Linked DNA regions of Rattus norvegicus. The protein of the gene in region 1 purifies or fractionates together with the protein of each later gene. This does not show direct contact. Links are inferred from orthologs where the notes say so. Each region holds a gene or a part of one and is shown in the gene's direction. Other genes may lie near its edges.

Evidence for each region. The genes of interacting proteins can lie anywhere in the genome.
Region 2: the proteins of Raf1 (region 1) and Emd purify together in Homo sapiens (affinity purification with mass spectrometry; 3 studies listed by BioGRID and IntAct, with this or other methods). This does not show direct contact. The link is inferred for Rattus norvegicus from reciprocal best matches to the Homo sapiens genes RAF1 and EMD.

What each region holds. Positions count from the first base shown.
Region 1 is NC_086022.1:150,372,961-150,380,228, reverse strand, and holds part of Raf1 (RAF proto-oncogene serine/threonine-protein kinase), read left to right. Parts: intron 1-4,530; 5' UTR 4,531-4,556; coding exon 4,557-4,763; intron 4,764-7,268. UniProt on the Homo sapiens protein: Serine/threonine-protein kinase that acts as a regulatory link between the membrane-associated Ras GTPases and the MAPK/ERK cascade, and this critical regulatory link functions as a switch determining cell fate decisions including proliferation, differentiation, apoptosis, survival and oncogenic transformation.
Region 2 is NC_086039.1:157,189,174-157,195,236, forward strand, and holds Emd (emerin), read left to right. Parts: upstream 1-1,264; 5' UTR 1,265-1,371; coding exon 1,372-1,453; intron 1,454-1,545; exon of another isoform or gene 1,546-1,625; coding exon 1,626-1,733; intron 1,734-1,869; coding exon 1,870-1,947; intron 1,948-2,167; coding exon 2,168-2,304; intron 2,305-3,436; coding exon 3,437-3,483; intron 3,484-3,565; coding exon 3,566-3,896; 3' UTR 3,897-4,276; downstream 4,277-6,063. UniProt on the Homo sapiens protein: Stabilizes and promotes the formation of a nuclear actin cortical network. Stimulates actin polymerization in vitro by binding and stabilizing the pointed end of growing filaments. Inhibits beta-catenin activity by preventing its accumulation in the nucleus.

The sequences.
Region 1 (7,268 bases):
TCCTATGTTTGGCACATGTATGTCATCCAGGAATTCCCTCCCCTAGCCTGCTGGGAATTTCCTTTGCTTCATTCTATATTCAGTGTCCTATTGCTTCCTGTGTCTTAGGTTATTTTCTTTCTTGACTTATGTGAATAATGAGGCCCTTCAGAAAGAGACCATGGACAGTAAAGCTCATGAATCATGAATGTTAGAAAAAGCTCTCTCTTTTACCTTTCTTTATAGTTTTCTTTCATACTGTATCAGACATTTCTTCCGATGTTGAGATTTGAAGCCATTCCTGATCCTTTGGCTAAAACTTCTGGAGTCTTGTTTTCTTGTTATTATAAAAATAAAAAAATAAATGATGATTCTATGTATCTTAGTCTGATATATAATTCAGGTCCCCATCTATGTGGTTTGGTCTCTGTCCTTCATATTAGAAGTTCTCTGCTAATCTACTTAGTTAACAGGACAGGATTAAGAACTGAGTATTGTCTTAGAGCACAAGTGAGCTTTGCTGAGCATCATGGTGTGATGGGGAGCTCTCTGAGTCTGGTTGCTGAGCTGGGAAGGAAGCTGCCAGGTTTTGTAGTCAGACGTTGAGTCATATGTTAGGCTCAAGTGTTGGGCCTGTTGAAATAGCATCTGATCTGTCTTTACAGTTCATGCTGGTCTACAATCAGAGCCCTATGTGCCTCCTCCCATGGCCTGAGTCTTTTGTTTTGAGTCAGGGTCTTGCTATGTAGATCAGGCTGGACTTGAACTCTCCATATTCCTGCTTTGTGTCTGAAGTGCTAGGCATATACAGACCTGTACCACCTACCACCTGACCTGGTGTGGTCTGTCTCTCTCTGTCTCTGTCTCTCTTTCTTTGCTGAGCCGTCTCTCCAGTTCTGTTTTTCAAAGGCATATAAAACATAAGTAGTCTAAAACTTTTCATTAATATTATAGAGTAGACCTAATAATGAGACTGTTAGGCATGTTACAAAACTGGGGATGTGGCTTGGTGGTAGAGTGCTTTCCAATCTAGAGTGTGCTGTGTGGGTGGAAGGAAAGAAAGAAAAGTTACACCCGCTAGTGTTGGTTACTTTTATCAGTCTGTGTCTTTATCCTTTGTACATTTGAGAAGTATTTGTTATTTCCAAGAGAGGTGAAGCAGTAGCACATCCCATGCTTTCTTTATCTACTCCCAACCCCAGAAGGCGATGACAAAAAGTGGATATCTATTGACTGGTCAGTTAAACAAACGGAAATGCCTTGACATAAAAATCATCCAAAATCTAATTTTAAAATGTAAAAAAAAAAAAAGACAGTATAACTTTTTATTCACCCAGTTTTTAGCGAGAATTGTATACAAGATAACTCTGTTCCTACATCTCGTTTGTCTGTTCTTTGTGTTTTTCCTTTTTTTCCCTAGGCTTTTGTCTTTCTGTTCCACGCTCCCCCAAACCCCCTTGAGCCTTTGTCCAACTTTAGCCTGCGCTAATCACTTTTCTGGGATGACTGCCCACATAGCAGTGTACCACAGTCTTTTCCCACTGCACATGTACAGAGTAGATGGCGTCATTTTATACTGTAAATCTGAATTACTTCTGCTGAGTTCTGTAGTGCCCTTGGACAACCTAAATGTCATCATCTTTTAGGGTGGGTATATGTCTAATGCTAGGCCTCTGTCTCTGCTCTTTGGAAAAAGGAAAAGTCATTATGTTCTTCTGAGTGTGAGAAGCTGCAGTCAAAGCCTTCTGTGGTTCTTGCTTTGGTCAGAGTCACAAAGAATTAAACTCCAGCAATGGCCAACAAAGGGAAGAGCTGTATATAGTTTTAATGATCTAGTAATCCTTTCCTTAGATGTCAGCAGACTACTTATGTACTTGTCGGCACCGGGTCCTCTACGTCAGCAGTACTTACTCTTAACCTCTGAACCATCTCTTCTGCCCAATATTTCTGTGTGGTTTTTTTTTTAATGGAACCTGCTTGTAATTATAATTTTATGTTGCATCTTCTAGCAGTTTTCTTAATACATTTTAATATTTAATGTTATAGACTTAGAACCACTGCTGTTTAGTTTTTCCTTTTTCTTTCCTCCTGCTCCTCCCACTCCTCCTCCTCTTTTCTTTTTCCGTCTTCTTTTTTTTTTGGAGACAGGGTCTCTGTACAGGGCCCTGGCTGTCCTATGTAGATTAGCTAGCTGGCCTACTTAACAGAGGTCTGCCTGCCTCTGCCTCCTTGTGCTGGGATTAAAGGGATTACCATGCTTGATTTTGGTTAGTTTTTTAATTTCAGTTGATAGCTCACTTTGGTTGATTTAAAATGATCATAGAAATTATAGTTATCATGACTTCTTCCACTTTAAAATCAAGTCACAATGATAAGTAAGGTCATATAATAACTAACAGTTACTGTGTAAAGAATTAAAATTTAGTGTATTACAGCAGTGGAATGCCTGAAAACTCACAGAATTACATAAAGCTTTAAGTTAGGTGCCTTTGTGTTGCAGGTACTGGTCCAAGTACTAAGAATATACCAGTGAGCTCTGCCCACAAAGCAGACATTTATGTATGTGTGTATGTATGTATGTATGTGTTTATTTTTAAATTTATTTATTTTTTGTTTTTGACATTTATAAACAGTCTTTGTAGTAATAAATGTCGCACTGAGAATTAATCAGGTTTGTTTGTTGAGGGGAGGAGATAGACTGTTTTGGCTGGAGTGTCAGGTAAGGACTCTTTAAAAGGCTGTCTTGGTGGAGACAGGTAGTGGAAAGGCCATCTTGACTGTTTGTGGGATTTTCATTCTTTTGGGTGAAGGGAATAAGAAATTCTCAGGTATGAATACTGGTATGTTCTGGTGGGTTTGTTTGCCTTCTTTTAAAAACAAGGTTCCACTTTGTAAGCTCTGACTATCTAGGAACTGGGTGTTTTGACCAGAATGACCTCACACAGAGATCCACCTGTGTCTGCCTTCCAAGTGTTGGGATTAAACCGTTACTGTTACCAGTATGACTGGCATGTTCTGAAAGCAGTTTTAGAGGCCTGGTTAAGGGGTTCAGAGTTTATTCTGAGTTTTAAGCAAGGGGGTCACATGATGCACAGTCTGCATTTGTTCAGGTCCCTAATGAATAGTATTTGCATGGGCCCTGCATGTGTCTCTGATGTAAGTCCCAGAGAACTCAGGATTGCTAATCTAGTGTAAATGTTGTGCAGATAGTCACACAGTGACGAAAAAGAAGTCTGCATATGTTCAGTGTAGACACACACACACACACACAATCTTTTGTTTTCAATTGTTGGAGTCGATGGCTGTGGACCCACAGATGTGGCACAGGAGTCTGGTTGCAGTTAGTCCCCAGTTTCTTTTCGTGGGCTGAAAATTTAGCACATAGTGGGAAGTCAGGGAGAAAGTTCTGGTTGAAAATGAGGTATAAGTTACATTTTCTTTAATTCTAGCCATCTCATCCCCGACTAAGTGATTTGTGTGTCAGGACTGTATGTGAGACAGTGAGAGCTGTGGAGTTAGAGCTGCCCAAGTGTGCATCTTAGCCTGGACACTCAGAGTATGTTGTAAGAATTCTCTCTGCTCTAGATGGGACATCACTTCTATTAGTATCTAACTGTACATATCAAGGTGGATAATAGGAATGGGTCATATGTATATATGTAAATTTCTATATGTGCTATGTGTGCATGCATGCATATATGTATGTGTACATGCATGCTCTGTATTCTGCCTCACAATAGAGGCTCCTGGTGAATTCTAGCTCTTGCTAGATAGACAAAAGTGTCCGACAGAAGGCTTGAAGGAGGATTCTCTGCTAACCTTATAGTTTTCTAGAGGAGGAGAACCATTTACTTTGCCTGCTTGCTGACCTGCAAGTGTCTGGGCATTCCTAGTCCTTATGCCTGAGGCATGTTACGTGGTTAAAACATCAGATTGTGATGGGTTAAATGACCGGTTTTCTTCTTTGGTTCTGCACCCAAACCGAATGCTGAATGTTACAGTGGAAAATTCATGGACTTTGTAAATAGATATGGAATCTGGGAGTTTTGGGACAGCTAGGGTGATTTCTCTGGTTTAAAGAGAAAGTAAAATGAAGATTTAAAAGCTGAAGTTCTTATACAAATTAAATGAGAAAGCTTATCCATAAAAATATACACATATGGTATCTACAGTGCATCCTGGGAATTAAGTTTTCTGCTTTTCTCTTGGAGGCAGGACTCCCTACTCCCCAGTGCATAATTCTCAGAGTTTAAAATATATTGCTCATGGACAGAGGTGATGACCCAATTTATTCATACATTGTAATCAAAGAAAATAAATATATATGAAAAATACGGACTAGAAGCCAGGCGATCTTGGCTTATGCTCTAGGTTAGCTTTGAATTTTGGTCTCTTTTTCTTTCATTTTATGGAAATACACCACTATATTTCTTTCCTGACTAACTTGCTCTCAGATTACAAAAAGCTGTATATCACTGTTTTTACAACTTTCTATATTGTGTTCTTGGGTTAAGTACTTTTTCTCTAGAATTATAATTATTTGTCTTTCAGGTATAAGTATTGTTGAAATTGCATCAATGGAGCACATACAGGGAGCTTGGAAGACGATCAGCAATGGTTTCGGACTCAAAGATGCTGTGTTTGATGGCTCCAGTTGCATCTCCCCTACAATTGTTCAGCAGTTTGGCTATCAGCGTCGGGCCTCTGATGATGGCAAACTCACGGATTCTTCTAAGACAAGCAATACTATCCGGGTTTTCTTGCCGAATAAGCAAAGGACTGTGGTATGTGACCCTAGAAAATGTCGTTCTCCTGCTCTTGGAGACTGTGCTCTGCTGTCCAGTTTATATATGGGAGCATCTTCTTGTCACTTGGGGTCTCTTAATTGTTTTTTTTCTCCCCCAAGTGAGATTTATTTTTATTTTTAAGAAGACCTATTTGTTTTATCTCTCTCTATATAAGTGTTCTGTCTTCATGCAGAAGAGAGGATCAAATCCCATTACAGATGGTTGTGAGCCACCATGTGGTTGCTGGAACTCAAACTCAGGAGCTCTAGAAGAGCAGTCAGTGCTCTTAACTACTGAGCATCTCTCCAGCCCTTCAGATTTATTTTATGAAAAAAATCACTGTTCTGCTCGCACTCCCTATTGTGTTCTAACATTGCCCACAAAGGCTTTTTTTCTGCATCCTTATTTTTTGGGGAGGAGGAGAGGATATTTCTGATACTTTTTTCTTTTGAAACATTTTAAACATTTATATTTATTAGTTTTATGTGTGTTCATGTGTTTGTGGTGCTTGCATGACATAGAAGTGAGCAAACAACTTGTGTGAGGAGATTCTTCTCGTTTATTACCACATGGGTTTTGGGGATTGAACTCAGACTGTCAAGCTTGGCAGCAGCTGCCTCGGTCCAGAGCCATCTTGCCAGTTCTTAGCCATTTCTTTGAGAAGATTTTTTTCTTTTAGTTTCTAAGCTAATTAAAATAATTAAAGAAGGAAAAAAAAGAATGCAAAGTATTGACTTAATTTTTGAGATTGCAATTAAATATGATGAAAGTAAAATTTTCTGGGTTATTTCACTTTAGGAAAAAGGTCTAGATTTTTAATTTTGAAAAAAAAATGTAGTCTTTGTTTTATGTGAATGGGTGTTTGCTGCCACGTATGTCTGTGTGCCCATAGCGGCCAGAAGAGGACATTGGATTACCTGGAACTTGGGTTACTGACAGGAGCTACCACGTGGTGCTGGGAACTGAGTGTGGCTGCTCTGGAAGAAAAGCCAGTGCTTTTAACTATTAGGCCATCTCTCCATCTCCTTGGAAAAGGTTATTTTGTTATTTCATAGGCCCAAGACAGACTTTTAGGTTGCTTAAGAAGAAACTCCTGCCTTGTCTCTTCTCAGGGCACAAAATATTTCTGCATTTTCTCCATGGAATCGGTGACAGGTTCATGTTGGAACCAGATATTGTCAACAGGATTTCCTGACGTGAAACCCATTATTTTCTAAAGACCCATTGTTCAAAAAACCCTTTACTGTTCTGAACTTTAAAAGCAAAAAACCTGTTTGGCTAAAACAGAAGAGTGAAGTTCTATTGGTTTTTGTTTGTCAGGTCTTGTTTAAACCTAAACTGAGAACTTGTCCATCCTTGCCCTCCCACTCCATGGTCTGTGGAGCACAGTGTCTGACATCTGTTTGTTCCTTTTGGCTCTGAGACTGCAAGGCCAGCCAGAGCTTTTTTTGGTTTTCTTCTAACAGTTCCCTCTGGTCTTTCTAGTTAATCCCTTCATCATTATTTATTTTGTGTGTGTGATTTGTACCTGAGTGTTTGTCAGTGCCATGGGTATGCAGTGCCCATAGAAGCCAGAAGAGGACATTGGATTCTCTAGATCTGAAGTTAGAGATGGTTGTGAGCTGCTGTGTTGGTGCTCAGCATGAATGGTCTTAAGTTTGAGGCTTATCTGGGCTACCGAGTGTTTTCAGGGTTCATAGGCAGCTTAATTTGAGATTCAAAATAAGTTAATTCTTTCTTTTTTGTTTTTTGTTTTTTTAAAGAAGGTTTCTGAGCAGCTACCTTAAGATAGGGACACAGTGTTTGTGTCAGTTAGAAGTGCTGGCTGGTGTTTCTTTCAGACTGAGTACAAGACTCTATCTCTCTATTTACTTTTCCACTCTGGAGTTCAGATTCACAGAGCAGGTGTTTCAGAAATAAATCTGTAGTGCCGACATTAGATCATACACCTTCTAGCTGTGCTCCCTTCCCTGGATCCAGAACTTTGAGTTGTAGGTTGTCTAGCGCAATTCTTCCAAGTCAGGACCATGTTGGCTAGGTCACATGGAACCTCCCGCTTCCCCTAAGCATGTAAGAACCTGGGAACCTGGCCTTTGTTCTTCTTGACTGAAGATGTCCTTTGTCTCCCCCTTGTTGTACTTCTGTAGTACAATATTCCAATCTAATACCTTCCTTTAGGGCTTACGGTGGCTAGTTATGGCTGTGAGCTCATAACTATTCTTTTAAATGTGTCAGCTCTCCTAATGCTACATGTCCTGTTTCTACCAACCTGCACTGATTTCAGATCGGCTTATTTAAAGCTTATTTCTCCATGGGTAAAAATGAAAATCTTCACTTGTTAGTATTGCTTCATACAAGAAAGGTCATTTTAATACTAAAAGAGTAAAAAGGGCTATTTCAAGGTGAGAATGGATTTTATTCGAAGGTGCATCACATGACAAAATAATTCAGCATGTCATAAATAATGGAGTTATTCTTCATGTTGCTGAACACTGTGATTTA
Region 2 (6,063 bases), on another chromosome or scaffold:
TCCAGTAAAGGGCAGCTTACACCTAGAGCCACATGACTTTTCGTAGAATATAATGGTCATGCTCACTCTTCAAGGCAACCTTTCTCTGATCCAGATCCTTAGTGAGCCTCCGTCAATTCCCATGGTTTACCTTTAGGCCAGCAGTTTGGAACCTCTGGGATACTATTCCTTTGGGTCTCACATATTAGATATCCTTCATATTAGATATTTATAATTTATAATAGCAAAATTACACTTATGAAGTACAACACAATAATTTTATGGTGGTGGTGGGGTCATCACAATATGAGGAACTGTATTAAAGGGTCGGCAGCATTAAGAAGGTTGAGAGATACTGCTCTAGGCTTTGCACACTGTCTAGGCCTCTAAGGTCACACCAAGCTTAGAGACTCTGCCAAAGAAGACTTCTCCCCTCAAAACTCCTCAGGGCCCAAGGTGGATGGAACAGTGAGTTAGGCAGGTACAAGGTGTACCCATCTACATGCATCACATAGCAGGCACCTTCTGATTGTGCCCATTGGCATGCCCTGGACCTTTGGAAAGCTGCTTGGTCCTACAGTGTTGGCGGCCTCTTGTCCCAGTGCTAGCCCCATTTCCTCCCGGATGGAACTAGGCGGCAGAGAGGACGGTGGGAATGGGCCTGTACAGGTGTGCAGGCCAGGGCCATGGAGCCTGTGAAGACCAGCGGAGATGGGTAGCGAGTGCCAGGGGTCTGTGGGTGGTTATGTAGGTGATGAGAGTCCTGTATGACAGCACTTGTGCACACAAAGAGCTCGCAACAGCGTCAGGCGCTGTGGAAAGGTTTGCTCTCAGGATTGGACTCTTCACATTGCTGTGGACCAGACTGTGGCTGAGAATCCTAGGCACTGGAAATCAGGATGAAGCCACAAAGGTGTGTAAGATTTCACAGCTTGGGAAATCACAAGCCAGTTTTGGTCCGCTGAGAACACTTGTCGCCCCTCTAGTACGTTGAGCTTTAGCACCCTCAGATAGCCTAGCTAGCCCCGCCCCTCAGCTGCCTAGCTCTCAAAGGAAGTCTCCGCTGCCCCAAAATCTCTCCCGCAAGCCCCTCCCTCTTCCTGTTCGAGTCAATCTCACACAAGTGTGACGTTTGTATTTGCCAGTCCAGCCTGCTAGACTGGTCTGTACTGGCCGCTCCGGCGGATTTGGGCCTGCCCTGAGGAGAGCGCGCAACCTGCGTAGCAGCGGCTGTGACGCAAACGTGACGGCGGCTTGACGCGCCCACAGCCGCTCTTGAGGCGCTGGCGCTTCCTCTGCTAGGCTCCGAGCTGTCTGTTTCTTGGGCCCTGTGTATAGGTGCCGGCCGCCCCTGGCGTTCAACACCGCTTCCAGGTGCCGGCCGTGTCTGCCATGGACGACTATGCGGTTTTGTCCGATACTGAGCTGGCCGCAGTGCTACGCCAGTACAACATCCCGCATGGGCCTATTGTGGGTATGCTGCAGCCGGTGGCGCTCAGAACCTCTCGGTCCCCCGCTTTCCCGCGCTCCTCCCTGAGCGTTCTTCCTACCTCCTCCTTCCCTCAGGTCCCCTCCCCGTGTTCCCTTGTGCTCTTGGGGTGCTCGGCTCGCACCCGCTGACCGCTTCGCACCCTGTGTCTGGGCAGGCTCCACTCGCAAGCTCTACGAAAAGAAAATCTTCGAGTACGAGACCCAGAGAAGGAGGCTTTCGCCCCCCAGCTCGTCATCGTCTTCATTCTCCTATCGGTTCTCAGGTGAGGCTCCAACTGCACAGCCCCAAAGAGCAGCTTGGGGCACAAGGCGCAGGGAGGGAGGGTGTGGCTGAAGCTACTGAGGGAGTAGGGGGAAGTCTGGAGATTGAAGGTCCTGTACCTTCTCCTCCACATGCAGACTTGGATTCAGCCTCCGTGGACTCAGACATGTATGATCTGCCCAAAAAGGAGGACGCCTTACTTTACCAGAGCAAGGGTAAGGCAGGTGTGGGATGGGCACTGATGTCTTTATCCCATGCTTCAGGGATTTGGGCACAGTGAAACTCCAGACCTCACCCCCTTGTACCAGTTCTCAGTGGCTTCAGAGAGAAGAAACTGGCACAGCACACACACAGACTGGGGGGGGGGGGCGGAAGGTGGCAAGAGGCCAGGTAAGGGGCACCACTTTTTCCTCTACCACTGTTTTCTTCCTCAAGACTATAATGATGACTACTATGAGGAGAGCTATTTGACTACCAGGACATACGGGGAGCCCGAGTCTGTGGGCATGTCCAAGAGCTTCCGCCGGCCAGGGACCTCACTTGTAGATGCTGATGATACCTTCCATCACCAGGTGAGTTGTCTGGTAGGCATACCTGGGGTGTATGTAGCCTTAGGGAATTCTAGGTTTGGATAGTTCAAGGAGATACTAGGTGCAGAGAGTGGATCTTAGGCCTTCAAGTATGGTTAGGATCAGCATACAGTTGTTGGCTCAAAAGTTCTACGTTGGAACCTCCAAAACTATTAGATTTGGGGATGAGCATATATAGCTCAGTAGAAGAGCATTTACCTATGGTTTCATCTCCAGCATCCAGCAGCACACACAAATGTTTTTGGGGTTTTGGCATTTTTAAAAATTTAATTACTTTAATTATACCTATGTGTAGCCAATTTTTTGTTAGTTTGTGGGTTCCCCTCACCCTTTCACCCCCAATCATTAGATAGAGAAAGAGAGCTAAAGATCCCTGAATCTAATTTCTTTCTTCCTTGTGTCTTCTTTGACCCCAGCTACTAGCAAACTGTAACCAACCTCACCTATTGGGGCTCTAGTATTTACATACCCTCTGAAAAATTCCCAGAATTCCAAATACCACAAAATTGCAGAAACTATCTGCAACTCAAAAGCATGAAGCAAATCATAGCTGCTGTAAAACAGCCCCATATCCCACATCTAGGGTTAAAATAAAAACATTCTTATAATATTTCTGTGTTTCTTAAGCCAAATTTCAAGAATTCTCACTACATGTATGTGTCTGTGGGTAGTATGCATGAGTGCTGGTGCCTACAGATGCCAGAATTGTCAGATTTCCCCTTAGATTCCCCTTAGAGCTAGAATGGCAAGTAGTTGTAAACTGCCTGATGTGAGTGCTGGAAAATGACCTTAGGTACCTAGGAAGAACAATAGGTGCTTTTAACCACTGAGGCATCTCTGCAGCCCACAAACTTTTATGATCTGAGCATATATAACAGCACCTGTACTCTAGGATGTAGGTTTAAGCCTCCTGAGAATCCTGGGGAATAAAAGGATGGTGGGACAAAGTTGACAAGGTTTGTAACTGGGTGGCAAGGCCCCACAGTTAAAGAGGGCATGGACCCAGAATGATGGGGGGGCAATTTTCTGCCCCCTACAATGTGACTAGAGTAGGCTAGCCAGAGACATTTGGGGAAACCATTCTTTCCCATTTCTAATCCTAATTATCCGGCAGGTGCGTGATGACATTTTCTCTTCTTCAGAAGAGGAAGGCAAGGATAGGTGAGTAGTGAACACATGTAGGGACAGGGACAAGTTTGACACTCAGACTCTCCTGCCTACCTGTCCCCTTCTTTTGCTACAGGGAACGCCCCATCTATGGCCGAGACAGTGCCTACCAGAGCATCGCACACTACCGCCCCATTTCCAATGTCTCCAGGAGCTCCCTGGGCTTATCATATTATCCTACATCCTCCACCTCTTCTGTGTCCTCCTCTTCATCTTCTCCCTCTTCATGGCTTACCCGACGTGCCATTCGACCAGAAAAGCAGGCCCCTACTGCTGCTCTGGGCCAGGATCGACAGGTCCCACTCTGGGGCCAGCTGTTACTCTTCCTGGCCTTTGCTGCCTTTCTGCTCTTTGTTTACTATTCCATACAAGCTGAAGAAGGCAACCCCTTCTGGATGGATCCCTAAGGGTATTGGTTTCAGAGCAGCTCTTAACAGGAGTTTTGGCTGACTGCCTTAGCAGTGTTTGCTGGGGGTGGGGGGTAGGGGCTTTTTTGTGTATTCTAGTTAGAGGGTACAGGGCCTAGCCTACGGCAGTGCTTGTCTCCACCTCATCTTGCCAAGGAAGCAGCAAATGCTGGCTTTCCACAGCCCAGTAGGCCCGTATGTACCTTCCTCTGGAGCCTCCTAGCCTTATTGCCTCTGACTCTTAGGGTATGGGGATCTGGTGGGGAGGACCTCACTTCATTAGAGGAAAACTTGGTGGTGGCAGTGGTAGTTGTCATGCATGCCTGTTTGTTGTCACCTTTTCAGGGGGTATTAACAAGGCCATCCTGGCTTTGCTTTCGTGGACACAATAATAAACATGTTTATTTTTACCTTGTTGTTTCTTCCTACTGGGATGGGAGCTGGGCTGCCATGGCACACAGGTGCTTGGTTTTAGGTCTCAATAATCAGTGTGGCTTTTCCCTTTGGTTGTGCTTGGTCTTGGGGAAGGAATCAAATGCTACCCATAGATAAGTCTATGTTTTAGTTGTGGGTTTTATTTCTGGGCCAACTCCCTGAAATACTTATTATAACCACTTAGAAAAATAACTACCATGTAATTAAATGTGTAGATAAGCCTATGGGAAATGTAGGCAAAACTGCATATATGATCATATATGCAGATACTTTAGTCAGGAGAGGCTAACACCAACATCTGAGGTTACCAGGATAGAAAAGATATGAGGCATCATGCCAGTACATTGTTCAGCTCCTGGGATTGGTGGCATGATAATAAGATTCAAAGGCTACAGTGCACCCATGGCTATTCTAATTCTTTGCCTGTTTATTCTTGCTCAGTTTTTAGATTTTCTTTGGAGATAATCTTTTTGTATACTGCGTTAAAATGTTTCTGTCCTTCCTTATCTGCCTAAGGTACCTACTGATTGGTTTAATAAAGAGCTAAATCGAGGGACTTCTGGGCATAGAGAGGGACTCTGAGGTCAGCTAGACATGGAGGAAGAATAGGTGACTGGTACTGAGGATCAGTTGTGAGCCATGTAGCAGAATGTAGAATAGTATAAATGGGTTGATGTAAGTTATAAGAGCTAGTTGGGGGTAAGCCTAAGTTAAGGCCAAGCTTTCATATTAATGAAAAGTCTTTGTCATTATTGGGAGCTGGCACTGACCTGGGTTGCCAGATGTAACCAAGCTGTCTCTTTGGTACCAGTTCCCAATAATGACATAGATACCTTTTATTATGAAAGCTTGGCTTTAGCTTGCTCACTCTCAACTAGCTCTTAATTTTTTTAGATTTACTATTATTTTATTTATATGAGTACACTGTCGCTCTCTTCGGACACACCAGAAGAAGGCATCGGATCCCATTATAGATGGTTGTGAGTCACCATGTGGTTGCTAAGAATTGAACTCAGGACGTCTGGGAGAGCAGTCAGTGCTCTTAACTGCTGAGCCATCTCTCCAGCCCCCAGCTCTTAATTTAACATACTTCTACATTCTGTCAGGTAGCTCATTACCTCTCCTCAGTCCCATATGTCTCAAATCTTCCACCTCTGACTTTCCCACAGTATCCCTTTCTGCCCAGAAGTCCTGCCTATCCTCTAAACAAGTCAGGAGGTGCATTGGGCAGGTGAGGAAGGACATACACACCTTCACACAGTGAATGATTATCCCAACAGTTTTTCTATCTTGGATACATAGTATATAATATTAAAAGGTTTTTTTTTTTAATCCAGGCATGGTGCTACACACCTTTAATCTCTGCACTTAGCAGAAACAGAATGATCTCTTTGTTTTTTGTTTTTTTTTAAAGATTTATTTATTTATTATATATAAGTACACTGTAGCTGTCTTCAGATACACCAGAAGAGGGCATCAGATCTCTTTACAGATGGTTGTGAGCCACCATGTGGTTGCTGGGAATTGAACTCATGACCTCTGGAAGAGCAGTCGGGTGCTCTTAACCGCTGAGCCATCTCTCCAGCCCCAGAATGATCTCTTTGAATTAAAGGGTACCCTGATCCAGGACAGTGTCTCAATATGAAAATTTAAAAAATTAAATTCTGGGCTTCAGAGATAATAACTCCGTGGTTAAGAATATGTTGCTCGGGGCTGGAGAGATGGCTCAGTG